2 linked regions of the Notamacropus eugenii genome follow. The protein of the gene in region 2 binds, or shares a complex with, the protein of the main gene of each other region. Links are inferred from orthologs where the notes say so. Each region holds a gene or a part of one and is shown on either strand. Other genes may lie near its edges.

Region 1 (7,575 bases), on a different chromosome or scaffold from region 2:
GAAATTAAGCTGGGTGGATCAGATTTGTGGGCGATGGGTTCACCGTTTCTGGTCATTTCATGAACAGAACCCTGAGCAGACGGGTGCCTAATACATATCCGTTATTGTTGTTCAGTGATGTCAGTCATCTTGGACTCCTCATGACCCCATTTGGGGTTTTCTCGGCAGATACCTTGGGAAAGATTTCCCTCTCCAGCTCATTTTATAGATAAGATACTGAGACAAACAGGGCTAAGTGACTTGTCCAAGGTCACGGAGTTACTAAGTCTGAAGCCAAATTTGAACTCAGAAAGATGGGTCTTCTTGGTTTCAGGCCTGGCACTGTATTCACTGCGCCACCTGGTGGCTCCTCTAATAAACAGTAGCTGTTAATAAAAGGTCCATTTTTAACTGTGTCACGTTAGGGTATAAAATCTAGCCGGTTTATCTGTTTACAGGTCAGGGGAGGGAGGTGGGGAGGAACATAAGAAGGGGCGAGTGAGAAAAAAAACAGCAGAACTGAAGAAAGCTTCACAGTTCAACTTACAGATGTCGGTACCCAGTCTTGGCCATAAACGAAACAGTACTTGCAGTAGAGGTCGTTGAATTCAGGAAACTTTAAAAAGAAACATAATACAGGTGCTTTATTTCAATCCAACATTTCCCTTCCATGTTCTGTGGGCTGCCAAAAAGGCTGATTATTGAATTAATATGAAATTGAGAGATTTTAGGTCACCTAGCTCAGAGTCAAACATATCTTTACTCTAGACCAGTGTTTCCGAAATGAGGGCTGTTTCTAAAAGGGGTGTTATCAACCAATCAGAGACCCCACCACAGCCAGTCTTGGACTTTTCTCCAATACAATCGCCCAGCCTCTTTCAACACTGCCCTGCTGGGCATCAGCCTCCTGGGCTGTGGGCCACTCGGAGGTTATAACCCGACCCGGGCATAGGAGGCCCTCAGGGCAGATGAGTACCCAACTAGTGTCTAGTCCTAGTCTCCCTCCTGACCCTGATGACCTCAAACATGCCCAAGGCTCACTCCTCTTCTGAGTCCCTACTTCTGCTGGGGACAACACCATCTTTACAATAACCAAGGTCTGCAATCCTGGCACTATCCTTCCATCCCCATCTTCCCTTACACCACAGTCATCAGCTGCTAAATCTTGCAGTTTCTACTTCTCTATCTCACCTATTCCAACTTGATCATCTCTATGGAACAGCCTCTTAAACGGTCTCTTTGCTCAAGTCTCTATTCCCTTTTCCACAAAGACGCCCAAATGATTTTTCTAGAGTAACTCTCAGTAACCTTTCGCAGCTCCTTACTGACTCCAGGATCAAATAGTATTTATTTTTTAATCTGGTTTTCAAATTCCTACCTTTGTGTAGGATTTAAAATGTACATAACTACTGTCACAGTAACACATCTGTATTTTATAAACAGGTAAATAATGTACATGTGAAGGAGGAGCATCCTGACTTAAAATTTTTCCAATAACAGGCAAGTGCAATTTTTAAAGTCTGGGTGCTACAGGCTTAAAAGGGGCAGGTGGCCAGATCTGGTGACACTAGAGGAGTGAAGTGGACAAGAACGATCTTACCTGATGGATGTGGAGAGCCTGGTCATGTCACATGGTTGAGATTAAAAAGGTCAGGGATGGACATGGAGAGAAGGATCCCACTGGAGAGTGGGAGCAGAGGAGAGCTAACCCCAGGGGGCAGGGTCCCCCACATAAGGGTCTGACAGAAGGGGAAGGATTTAGGGCTACAAGAGGGTTAAGATCTCTGGTCCAACCTCATTTTAGACAAGGGAGCAACGGGCAGTAGCGCGGAGGCTGGAGCCGAGGTTCTAGGTGTCCCGTTCCAGATCGGGAGCACCGCACGGGGAAGGGGACAGACAGACTTTCTTTCGTTCCGTTGGGGGCCAGGACTTCCAAGCCCCATTTACAGGTAAGGAAGCTGATCTGCCCCACTACGGAGGGGCCGCGGCCGGGCGGGAGGCTGCGCTCTCTGCCGCCTCCTCCAGGGGGCAGCAAAGGCCCCGACTTCACCCCCAGGGGGTCGTCCGCACGGACCCCCACGGCCGCTCCGGCGCTAGGCCTAAGACCCCAAGGCTCCCGCTTACAGGTCACGGAAGGCGCTGGGTCCTGGACGCGGGAGGGCAGGTCCCGGTCCAGCTGGGGGTGGGCGGGGATGCGGCCCCCGCAGAGAAAGGAGGGGATTCTCGTCCCACTTGGGAGAAAAGGGGGGCGGCGTCTGCGGTGTGCCCGAGTGCCCTCTGGCAGGGGGCGTGTGCGTGCACGTGTGCAAGTACAAATTCGGGTGGGTCCGGGGCCGCGGCGCCTCCCGTGGGCCTGGGGGCGTGGCCACGAGGCCTCGCATTCCGGCTCTGCTCCCCTCCCTCCGGGCCAGCCGGCCAGCCGTCCCCGAGGCCCCGTCCCCGAGGCCGCCTCACCTGGCCGCTCTCCACCTGCCCGTTCACCATTATCAGGAAGACGGTGGGGGTACTGGTAGACATGGCTCTCCGGGGGTCGGGCGCGCGGCCTGCGTTGCTAGGAGTCTCTCGAGCGCCCCCTAGATCCCGACGGCGCGCCGCATGGGACAATCTTCCTCGGAACGGGGCCTTCGCGCCTCGCAGGCTCCCGCGGCGGCCTAATTTACGGAGCGCCTGGCTGGAGCATGCGCAGTTGTTCCTTTGGAGGGGCCTGCGGGAGAAGGGAGGAGAGGACGGGGCGGGGCCCTCGAGCCAGGTGTCCTGGGCCTCTTGGGCAGCAGGGAAGCCTCTTGACCCCTTCTAGTGGTCTACACGTGTGCCCCATTTATATAGACCGCTAGGGGGTGCGGCGGAGAGCACGCTGGCTCTCCACTCGGAAAAACCCGAATTCAAACCGCTCACCCGCGTGACTCCGAGTAACTCAGTAAAAACAATCCCTCTTTGCTTCGTCTCCTCAGCTGTAAAACAGGAAGAATACTAGCGCCCTGTCCGGGGGTTGGCACGGGGATCAGGTAATAGCTAAACGAGTTTTAAAGGGACTGTCACCCTGGCTGTGGGCCTGTCCTGGAACGGGACCAAAGTGACGTCACCATGATAGAGTCACGTGTCCGCGGGTCCCATACCAGGGCGCCCATGTGAACACCTGGGCTCGGTGTCCAGAATTTGCACATCCTGCATTGACTGTCTCCGGTCTGCTTTGCCCAGAGCACAGCACCCTTTCTGAGGTGGGCACGCCATGCTGAGCGGTCCTGTGCCAGGGTCTCCCATGTCCCACAATCCAATCCAGAGTTCTTGAGAGAGACCTTGGGAGGGTCCTTGCATTGCTGCTTCTGCCGTTGTGTGATCTGCTGCCCCATCACTCGTTTTCCATGAAATAGTCTTTGTGGCAAGCGTACAGTTTGTGTTCTGACACCATGGCCCACCCATCAGAACGGTGCTCTCTGAAGCAAAGTTCAAGGATGCCTCCCTTGTTCATCTCTATAAAGGTAAAGGGAATAGATTGTCCTGGGACGATCACAGGAGGGTCTGTCTCTTAGTCATTGCTGGCAAGGTTCTTGCTAGAGTCCTCCTTAATAGTCTGATCCTTCACCTGGAAGATGCTTGTCTACCTGAGAGCCAACGTGACTTCAGAAAGGGCTGAAGAACAGTCGGTATGGTGTTTACTGCCCGACAACTCCAGCAGAAATGCCAAGAGCAGAACAGAGGTTTGTACACAACGTTTGTGGATCTGACCAAGGCCTTTGACACTGTTAGTTATGAGGGTTTATGGAAAATTATGTCAAAATTTGGCTGCCCGGAGAAGTTCATCAGTATCATGTCAGTTTCATGGTGGCGTGTTTGCCCAGGTTCTGGATAATGGAGAATGATCTCGTGCTTTCCCAGTCACCAATGGAGTGAAACAGGGCTGTGTGCTTGCTCCCATGCTTTTTAGCATGATGTTTTCAACCATGTTGTCAAAAGCTTTCAATGAGGATGAACACGGCATCAAGGTCAACTACTGTACTGATGGTAAGTTCTTTGGTTTGAAAAGGCTACAAGTCAAGACGAAAGTGGAGGGAGTGTTGGGGCATCATTTTCTGTTTGCAGATCATTGTGCACTCAATGCAGCCTCTGAAGCTGAGATGCAACAAAGTATGGGTCAATTCTCTGCTATCTGTGCTCATTTTGGCCTAATAATGAACACCAAAAAAATACAGGTGCTCTATTAGCCACCACCATACCATGGAACCGTCAGATACAACAAATGGAGAAGTTTTGAATGCTGTGGATAAGTTCACTTACCGTACACAATGACAATGAGGTTGACACACACATTGCCAGAGCTAGCTCAGTGTTTGGGAGACTGAAAAAAAGTTTGGGAGAAAAGAGGTATTAGACTGACTACCAAACTGAAGGTCTACAGAGCTGTTGTGCTAACCTCATTGTTGTATGCCTGTGAAACATGAACAGTCTACCTACACCATGCCAGGAAACTGAATCGCTTCCATTTGAACTGTCTTAGGAAGATTCTGAGGATCACCTGGCAGGATAAGGTACTAAACATTGAAGTCCTGAACTAAACGGTGTTACCCTAATGCTTAATTTATGTCAAACAAAAGTCAAAGAAATTCTTTGTGTCCCTTAAAATTGGGGGGGGAGGGGAACCTCAAGGAAGAAGACTGCCTGGTTCCAGAGGGAAAAGGAAAGTTGTGGAATCATGAATCTAGAACCATAAGAGACCTGAGAGGCCATTTAATCCAATACTCTCATTTTATTGATGAGGAAACTGAAGCCCAGAAAGGTGACTTGCCTAAAATCACCCAGGTGTTAGGCATCAGAGGCAGAATAGGGAACCCAGCTCCTCTGAGGTGCAGGATCGGTGTCTGTTTTACAGAACAACGGATTATAGATCATCTTAACAAAGTCCAGTATTCATTCAGCAATAACAGATTATCAGAAGGAACCCTGGATGGACAATCTGAAGAAACGGCTTCTAGTCCTGACTCTACCACTGACTTCACTATGTGGCAAGTCGCTTCCCTCTCTGAGCCACAATTCCTTTCCCTGTAACATGAGAGGATAAAACCAGATGATCTCTAAAGTCTCTTACAGGTCTGAGTTCTGGATATGTTTGAGGTATTGGTGCAGCATCAAGGTGGTGTTGTGTTTCTGAGTCGTTTTTCAGTTGTATCCAACTCTTTGTGACCCTATTTGTGGTTTTCTTGGCAAAGATACTGGGATGGTTTGCCATTTCTTTCTCCAGTACATTTTACAGATGAGGAAACTGAAACAAATGGGGTTAAGTGACTTTCCAGGGTCACACAGCTAATAATTGTCTCAGGTTGAGGAAGTTTAGCATTGGTAAAGCAAGTTCAGATGTGAAAGAATCCACTTAGACCTTCTTGTAGCCACTGGGAGCTTTATTTTATGCAAAAAAAAGCAGCATGGGTCTCTTAGCAAGAAAGCTAAGTGAGACTCCCATATTTGGGGGAGTTATGCTTATATAGAGGTTTCAGAATGATTATGTAGTTTTAGAGATTTAGAAGATTAGGGACAGGATGAGGAAGATGGATGACAGGATAGGAGATGCAAGGTAAGGGAGATGGGGAATTTTATGACCCAGGATGGGGGGAAACAAGGAATTTTATGGTCCAGGATAAGAGGGAAGTTTTATGGTTTAAGTACAGGGCAGTAGGATACAGATAAAAAATTAAAGGACCCAGGGAACACAATATAAGGGAGACAAAAGCAATTCTTTTGGTACAGGTTCATGATAAAGGGGAGTAAGGACTTTAGGGTACTGGAAAAGCAACCCTTAATATTTTAACCCTTAGGGCACTGTTTGTATCCTCATCAAGGCCAAATTTGAACTCAGAAAGATGAGTCTTCCTATCTCCTTGATGGAGTCCTAATAGAACTGCTCCCAGCTCCAATAGTCTAACTTCATCACAGGCCCACTGTACCTAGCTAGCCTCCCTACCAATGTCCTACGTTCTTCATATATGCCTCACTGCTCACTAGAACAACAGTCCCTAAAACTCATAAAACTCTCACAGAAACAGCAGGTGTGGGAACCCACCCACTACCTCTACCTAGCCATGATTCCCAGACCCATTCTTGACTCTGCCACTGACTTCACTACGTATGTTCTTGTAGTTAATCACAATTACATCATCCATCTAGCCCAAGACCTGACCACAATACCTAACTATCTGTCTTGACCAGACAGGACCACAACAGCTAACCGATTGGAGGGCAGCATGGTCAGAATGTTTAACCACCAAACCATAGATAGGACCCCTCCCCCATTACCTAATTCCTTAACAAACTCCTCCCACCTTTTTAATATTAATCATATTCCTATAGTCTATGTAAATTTCTGTTATGTGATTGCATCTTTACCCTATAAAAATCCATCTTGTTTTCTCTGAAATTGCTGGTTCCTCTTAGAACTTAGCCCACTTCATGAGAGGCATCAATCTCAATACATGCTTATACTTGGATTAGAGGTGGTCTGACTCTGAATTCTTTGAGACGGTTCCACCACAAGACATCATAAAACCTCAACAGTTTTTGGCGTCCCTGGGTTTAAACTTTAACATCCTAGCAGAGTGCTCTATCCACTGGATCACCTAGCTCCTCAAAATAATATTGAGATGAAGATTTAGAGACATAAATCTAGATACAGATTTCAGAGTCATCCTTACCAAGGTGATAATTAATCCCAAGGGAGTAGATAAAATCACCAAGATCATAGATTTAGGGTTGAAAGAGAAATTACAGCTCGTAGGATCATGGATTTAGAAAAGTTCTAGTTTACCCACCAGATCCATATAACCCACTCTAGTCTCTCTTCTGAACTCTAGTTCTTCATCACCTACTGGATATTTCTAACTGGATGTCACATAGAAATTTCAAACTCCACATATCCAAGATGAAATTCATTATCTTTTTACCCAAACCCTCTCCTTTTACTAACTTTTCTATTTCTTATTGGGGGGAGGGGGAAGCATCCAATCACTCAGGTTTACAATCTCAGAGTCATCTTCACAGGTGTGCACATAGTGTTTGTTGGAGGAGCACTGATATCTCCAAAAAAAGTTGTGTTTTGTTTCTTTTTTAAAGTTTATATTTTAAAGTTAGGGGCAGTTAGGTGCTGCAGTGAACAGAGTGCTGGCCTTGAAGTCAGGAAGACTCATCTCAATAGTTCTGTGACCCTGGGCAAGTCACTTAACCCTGTTCGCCTCAACTTCCTCATCTGTAAAATGAGCTAGAGAAGGAAATGACAAAGCACTCCAGCATTGCCAAGAAAACCCCCAAATGGAGTCATGAAGAGTTGGACATAACTGAAAAAACAACTGAACAACAATTGTAAAGTTGTTGAGTTTTCGTTTCCTTGATGAATAAAAAACGTGAATAAAAACAACAAATTCTCCAAGTGTGTGTGAGAAATGAGCCCAACCACAAGCCCCCAACTATGAGAAACATGCTCACCTCGAACAAACAGTATTTGTTGTGAAATCAGGAAAGCTTTTATTCATCTTCTACATTCATCTCTCTTGAACGAATGGGTGGCTCCCAAGTAAGGATACAGGAAGACCACAATTTGTTCAGACCAATGCA
Region 2 (7,390 bases):
TCCAGAGGATAGGGGCAATGTGCCATAGTGGATAGAGTACTGGACTTGTAGTTAGCAAGTCCTCAGTTCAGACCTAGCCTTTGACACTAACTGTGTGATGTGGGAAAAGTCATGAGGCCTCTGTATGTCTCAGACAATTCCCTGAGACTTATCTTCAGTCAGATTGCTTAGGGGTCCAGTAGCATATAGGGTTAGGGGTATGGTAGATAGCTAGGTATCTGGATTTGTGGAGGGTGATTCTTCAAGCAGACAAAACCACAGATCTCTCATGTATTCACATATTCTGGTAATGCTGTACAACTATAAATCATTCAGTATAGTTGTCATAGAATCAAAATTGCAGATCATTCAAAGGGCAATAGAAAGTTATGGTGCGGGTCTGAACAGGCTATTCCTAGCGAAGATCACCTGCATGAAAGAAGTGAAAGAGACTTACGACCAGAAAAGTAGATGGTTCAGTTAGAAAAGCAATGGAAAGTGAGAGAAGACTCCATGTGCTGTGCCGGTACCCTTCTGATGCTACAACATTGCTAAAGTTAAACATCAATTCAAAAGACAAATATCAGAATGGTGACAATCCTACCTGTTTTTTTCTTCTGTGTTTTTGAACTTTCAACTTTTTCTTCAGTTTTTCTGCCTCCGCACCTTCATTTTCAACAAACTCCTTTGTCAAAAAAAAAAAAAAGAAAAGAAAAAAAAGAAAAGAAAAAATTGAAGTGTGATAGGTTTATTTGCTGAAATTTAAAACAATTCAACAATTAAAGATCTGGAGCTGTATTTTTAAATATTAAAAACAAAATCACAGTGAAGATGAAAAGGCTCAGGCCCTCTACTTCATTCTGTTAGCCTTCATTAGGAAATAGGAGACTAGATCCTTTACTGAACACAACTGTCACCCCCATCACCAACACCCCACCATCATCAATGTCACCATCATTCTTGGCACCAGATGACATAATATGAAAGACTCTGAAGTCAGAGAACTGTGATCAGATTCTGCCTCTGTCACTTACTGGCTGTGTAATCTTAGGAGAATCACTTAATTCCTTTGAGTCTCAGTTTCCTCATCTGTAAAATAGCAGAGTTTGACTACATGACCTTTAAGGTCCCTTTGGTTGCTAACATTTTGTAATTCTGCTTGATTTTTTAAATTATTCAGAGGGCTGTATAAAGCCATACTGTATCCTTGTTCTCTCTATCTCTGTCTCTCTCTGTCCCTGTGTCTGTCTCCCTCCCTCCCTCCATATCTGCCATAGATATCCATATAGCTATCTACTATATGTACATGTAAATATATAGATTCATTTATCACTCTATATCAGATCATAGGATCAGAGATCTAGAGCTCAGACTTCATCTACTCCAACCTTTTCCTTTTACAGGTGAGGAAACTGAGTCCCAGGGATGTTAGAACTCTCCCAAGATCCTGTATTGTGAGATCCTTGAGGATAGTAATTGAATTTTGCCTCTTTTTTGTATCCCTAGCATTTAGCACAGTACCTGACATTTAGAAGGCACTTAATGTTTATTGAATGATTATTGAATATACATGCGTGTATACAAATATGTACATATGTAGATACATGTATGTACATACACAGGCATACATTTTTGTGTGTATATACATATGTATGTACGTATGTTAAGCTTAGAATAAGGTTTGATTCAAGCCATTTAACTACAGTGCTAGTGATCTTTCCACTCTACCATGGTGCCTCCTATCACTGGTGGCTTCACAGAAATTTTATTCTAGTAGATGTTTGGCCAATCTCCTCACCACCTGCCTTTGGCTCTACAAGTGTTTATCCAGATTCCACAAAAATTGCTCTGGTCCTTTCATTCAGGACAGATTCTGGGGCAACCAACCTAGCTGGTAGGGAAAATGTGTAGTTTTGGAGAATTAATAAGAAGAACCCACTTTCTAGTTATAAAGCACTAGATCCTTTCACCTCATTTGATCCTTACTACAATTCTATAAGGCAGGTCCTAGAAGCCACTTCAGAGTGAGGCAGGAAAACTTTCTGGGAGTAAATAGGAAAATGGCTTTGATTCTGTTGACAGAAAAGGAGTCATAATGGGAAAGCAACAAACTTGCTAGGGAACACATTTGGCCCATAGAGAGCAGGAAAGAACATTTTGCAGTTGTCTTGAAAGGGACAAGAAGGAGAGGAAGAAAGAGGAGGAGATGAAGGAAAATAAGAAGAGGGGGAAGAAGAAGAGGAGGTGAAGGAGAATCTCCTCTCCAGAACCAAGAACATGACAATTTGAATGGGTCTTAGACTTAAACCCCCATATTTTACATATAAGGGAATAGGTCTAGAGAAGGGAACTGACTTGTCCAAGGTCATGCAGCAAGTACAATTTCTGGCTTCCAGTATTTAAGAAATGAAGAGAAACAAAAGTTTTTAAAGTCCAGGCTGATTTTAAACTCCTTGGGAACAGGGAATGTTTTTTATTGAAAATGACAATAATGTGCTTTAATAGTCTGGATCCTTGTGAAATCTTAAAATGTTTTAGAATTGAGAATTCTTTCCTTGTTTCTCAAATGCTCACCACACCACCTGGGTGTGCTGACGCCAGCTCTAACAGTCGTGAAGTTTGTAAAGTTTTCAGTGAGAGTATAATTTAGAAATCAGTGATCACTAAATCAGGGCTTGATTTCCTGCTTTATTGATTATCTAAACTAACTTAAAAGTAGGCCATTTCCCCCAAAAGTGAATAACCCTGAGTATAGTATACTCTGTAGTAGGTAGATTCAGCAGAAATAGATATTCATTATTAATATGATTTCTTCACTCATACAGAACCCTAACAATGATATAAACATCTACTTACCTCTGAGATTATTTTCACTTTTTCTTCTTTGTGACTCATTTCTGGATCCCTGAGCAGCAAAGTGAAAACAAAGAAATCAGGCATCATGTGTTGTTTGTGTGTTGTTGTTTGGAAGCTGGAACTGAGTATGGCTTAGAATGAATGTGTGTGAAACTTTAGCAAGAATACTATAAAATCAAAGGGCTAGATCATCATCTGTTCCAGTAGAACCCCAGCTAAGCTACAGGTTAGGGTTTATTAAATTTACCTCATTTAAATTGAAAATTAATTCTACAATCTCCCTTGATGTCTAACTCCTCTTCCTTCTCTCCTATTATTCTAATACAGATTCATCTACCTGATCATTACAGTATCATCCCCAAATGTTTTCCTAACATTTTCTTTCTCTCTCCCTTACAATCTATCCTTTCTTATGCACAGATATCTGGTCATGGAATTCTGTTCAAAAACTTTTGTTGACCCCTTTTTGCTCCAGGATGGTGGTACTAGGCTCACTCCCCCAAATCTCACCATAACCTCCTTTCACTTCGCTGTTCTTATGTTTCAACCAAACAGACAATTAGTTGATTACTAAACACAGTATGCTTTCGTTCAATTCCAATAAACAAATATTTATTAAGCATCTACTATGCGCAAGACACTATGTAAGGTGCTAGGGAGACAAAGACCCCTCTTTACCCTCAAGGGCCTTACATTCTACTGCAGTGTGGAAAGAGGGACACAACAGATAAACAAACAAGTAAATCCAAAATAATTTAGGAAGGAGAGAATGCTAAAAAACTAAGGGGATCAGAAAAGACTTCTTGTGGGAGGTAACACCTGCACTGATCCTTGAAGGAATCTAAATATTCTAATTACTGGGAGACCAGTATACGTAGTGACTATAATGATGTAATTGAAAACAAAGGTGGAAGGCAGTTTTGCTGATTGTAATGACCAAGATTGCCTTCAAGGAACTAACATAACTAATCTAACATACTTCTGTCTTCTTGGTAGATGACTAAAGATTCAGAATGTTGCTTACCCTGCCAGATGTGGTTGCTGTGTTGGTTGGTTTTACTAACTTCCCCCCCTCTCCCACCCCCATGTAACAGGGGAGAATTCAATGGGAGAAAGGAGATATCAATGCCAAGAGGCATCAATAAAAGTTAGTAAAAGAAAAAAAGAGAGAAATATGGAAGAGGAAAGGAGTGAGATGAAAGAAAAGTGGTAGGGGGAAACTAGAATATTATAAAGTATAATAGAGAACCTTCCCCAGATGCTTTAGGTGTCACTCACAACCACACCCACACCCACTTAGGCATCATTCACACCCACACCCACTTAGGCATCATTCACACCCACACCATGGATTGTCCATCATTCCTTTAATTCATCTCATCTGTGGAAATCTGTACATAATTCTTCCTTTTCTTCAGAGGAAATTTTATTCTAAAATAATCAATTTTTGATTATACATATGTTCCTAGGGCACTCCTGTCTTTTGTCATGATGTGTTTCCTCTACCTGCTGAGATTCCAATCCTGAAAGATCCTTATTACCAAGCTAGTCTTTCCTTTCCCCCTTCTTGTCCCATGTCCTCCCTTTTCTTTTATATTCACTATACTTTCCATTTTCCCATATATCTAGATGGATATAGGGCTGGGATTCCCTAAGTAATCTGGACACAGAACATTATTTTCCTGATAAGTGTTGATAGAATCTATAAGTATTCCTCAGACTGGAAAAATATCAGGAAAATCTCGAAGGAACCAATGTTCGAAGGAATACTTGAGAACTCTGATAAATGCAATGACCAACCATGATTCCAGAAGACTCATGATGAAGCAAGGTACTCACTTCCTAACAGAGATGATGTACTAAAGATGAAGAATAAGATGCATTTTTGAATACAGCTAATGTGGAAATTTGTTTTGCTGTACTATGTATATTTATTACAAGGATCTTGTTTTTCTCCCCACTCCCACCTCCAATTTGGTGTGGGGGAGAGAACAAGGGGGAAAGTAAAACCATAAAAAAATTTTTTAGGGCAAGATGGGGAAATGAAACCTACTTTAATACTGAAAATTGTCTCACAATTCTTTTTTATACCTGCATAATTTCACATTTAATATTTCAGAGAGGAAATTAAATCTGGTAGTAAATTCTTTTTTCATAGAATCATCATTCATATCTCATTGAAAATCCAGATTTCATGGTATACCCTGGGAAAATGTCAGCTCATTTTTCTCTCCACTCCTTCCAGAGCTATCCTTTTCTCCCTGATCCCTGATGAGTTTCCTCCACCCAAACGGTTTCAAGGGTGCCATAGGCACATAGGAGATAGTAAATACCCACTGTATTGATGAACCAGTAGAAAAAATATTTCTTCCACTTCATATCACTTAATAGCAAGGATTGGCAATAACTCTAAAGAAAAAGCTTAGCACCTAGTTCATATCTGGAATATATAATTTTCTATTAACATCATATGTAATAATTAGGAGAGGCATAGTGGATAAAGAACTGGTCTAGAACAGAGAGTCTCAGATTCAAATCCAGCTGCTGACACAAAGTATGTCCTTGGGCAAATCACAACCTCTCAGTTTCCCAAATAACTCTTATATAAGACTATAAGTTACAGAGAAGATGCATACTTCTTTCTTGGGAGTTGTCACAATGGGAGTTCCATATGTTAATGAAATCACATGACTGGACCCTTCAAAATAATATTTAGATAACATAAACATTTTCAGTACCCCAAAGATCTATAATTTCATCAGGGTGAGTATTTATTTCATCCACAATTTAGGAGATGATCTTCAGGAATTACTATGCCCCATAATTTATCATCCTTCAGCCAACATAGTGATGAGAGTCTTCCAACTTAATTAGCCTGGTGCTCAGACATGAAACATGCATTCTAACCCTGGGGCATATGCAAAACTTCCTAAAACTCAAGTCTGATCTTGTCATTCTCTTGCTTAAGAACCTTCAATGGCTCCCTCTTGTCTCTCAAACAAGGTATAAACACAGGTGTACAGTTGCCATTTAAAGCCTTCACAATCGGACTCTAGCCTATTTTTCCATGTGGCTTACATAGTGCTTCCACCTGTGTGCCCTAACGCATAACCAGATCAACCTACTTGTTTCACTGTTCTTTGCACACTAAGTTCCATCTTCTGTCTGTGAGCTCATGGTTTGGATGCCCTCTCTGCTCACCTCTGCCTCTTGGAATCCAAAGCTCCTTTATGGGCTCAGTTCATGTGCCACTTTTATGGGGCATCTTTCCTGATCTTCTTGATTATGCCTTCTCTCTTCCTCTTCAAATTATCCTTATTATATTGCTTACATGCTGTATCCCTTAGTTAGGAAGATCTATCAAGTTTTGCCTCTGATACACCTTGGCTGTGTAACCCTGTACAATCACTTAACTTCTCAGGGCCCTGGTCAGTTTTCTAAGACTATAAATTGTAGAGTAGGTGCTGATCTGCATTAGTAGAGAGGATTCCTCAGGAAGAATTTCTTGTACCAGTGAAATCACAGGCCTGGACTCTCTTGTCCCTTCCCTCCCAATAGGATGTATTCTCTTTAAGGATATTACTTCTCATTTTGTTGTTGCATCCCTAGTTCTAGCAGTCTGGCACATAGTAGGTGCTTAATTAAATACTTCATAGTTTGGATTAGATATATGATGCCTTGTGCTCTTTTGGGCCAGCCTTTGACAACCCAATGCCACCTCCATTTCAAGAAGAGATATTTGAGGAAAATATTAGTCTAACACAAATACATTTAATAAAATATAATAATTTTGCTAGAACATAGAAGTCATATACTCATATGTAGTATATAATCCACTCATGTAGTAGAGTGGATAAAGAACTGACCTTGAAGCCAAGAAGACCCAAGAAGTCCTAATTTTGGCACATACTGGCCATATGACCCAAGGCTTTAGGACTTTTTAAAGACTTTACAATTACATTGGTAGAGGGAGTTTCCTCACTCAGAAGTTCCCTATGTCAATAAAATGGCTGGTCCAGTCCCTACAGATTTCCCTGTAAACAGTCACTTTATATGTAAATATATGTGATGTACACATCTATATATAGATAAAATAGATATGTGTTTGTTATACATATGTACAAAGAGTTGTATATGCAGTGATTTGCCCCACGATGTTGTCTGATGTATACCTATGTAAAAATACATATGTATTATATGTAACACACATAAATCTGCATAATATGACATATAATACACACATAATTATATATATACTATACACACACATCTTCATAACACCTTTCCTACAGAAGAAAGTCATGTAAAACTGCATCTAACATATTATCTTTGTGTCTTTTCAAAATAACAAGAGTAACCTTTTGGAGGATGGTTACAAGGCCCCTAATCATTGCCAAGAAAAACGATGTTACAAGTGTGTTATCTCATCAAACATCCCTCCCCCTCAAGCGAAGATAAAAAGGCCTGAGGCTACATAATATACTCAAATATTTCCATCAAGCTTTAGTTGCAAACTAAGCTGAATAGCTAGTCAGGGAGCACAGAAATAGGCCTT

What was found.
Region 1: CC2D2A (region 2) and B9D1 share a complex: the UniProt entries of both Homo sapiens proteins name them as parts of the tectonic-like complex. The link is inferred for Notamacropus eugenii from reciprocal best matches to the Homo sapiens genes CC2D2A and B9D1.

What each region holds. Positions count from the first base shown.
Region 1 is NC_092874.1:319,707,806-319,715,380, reverse strand, and holds the start of B9D1 (B9 domain-containing protein 1), read right to left. Parts: upstream 3,055-7,575; 5' UTR 2,497-3,054; coding exon 2,434-2,496; intron 596-2,433; coding exon 527-595; intron 1-526. UniProt on the Homo sapiens protein: Component of the tectonic-like complex, a complex localized at the transition zone of primary cilia and acting as a barrier that prevents diffusion of transmembrane proteins between the cilia and plasma membranes.
Region 2 is NC_092877.1:67,984,818-67,992,207, reverse strand, and holds the start of CC2D2A (coiled-coil and C2 domain-containing protein 2A), read right to left. Parts: upstream 3,006-7,390; 5' UTR 2,923-3,005; coding exon 2,836-2,922; intron 665-2,835; coding exon 584-664; intron 1-583. UniProt on the Homo sapiens protein: Component of the tectonic-like complex, a complex localized at the transition zone of primary cilia and acting as a barrier that prevents diffusion of transmembrane proteins between the cilia and plasma membranes.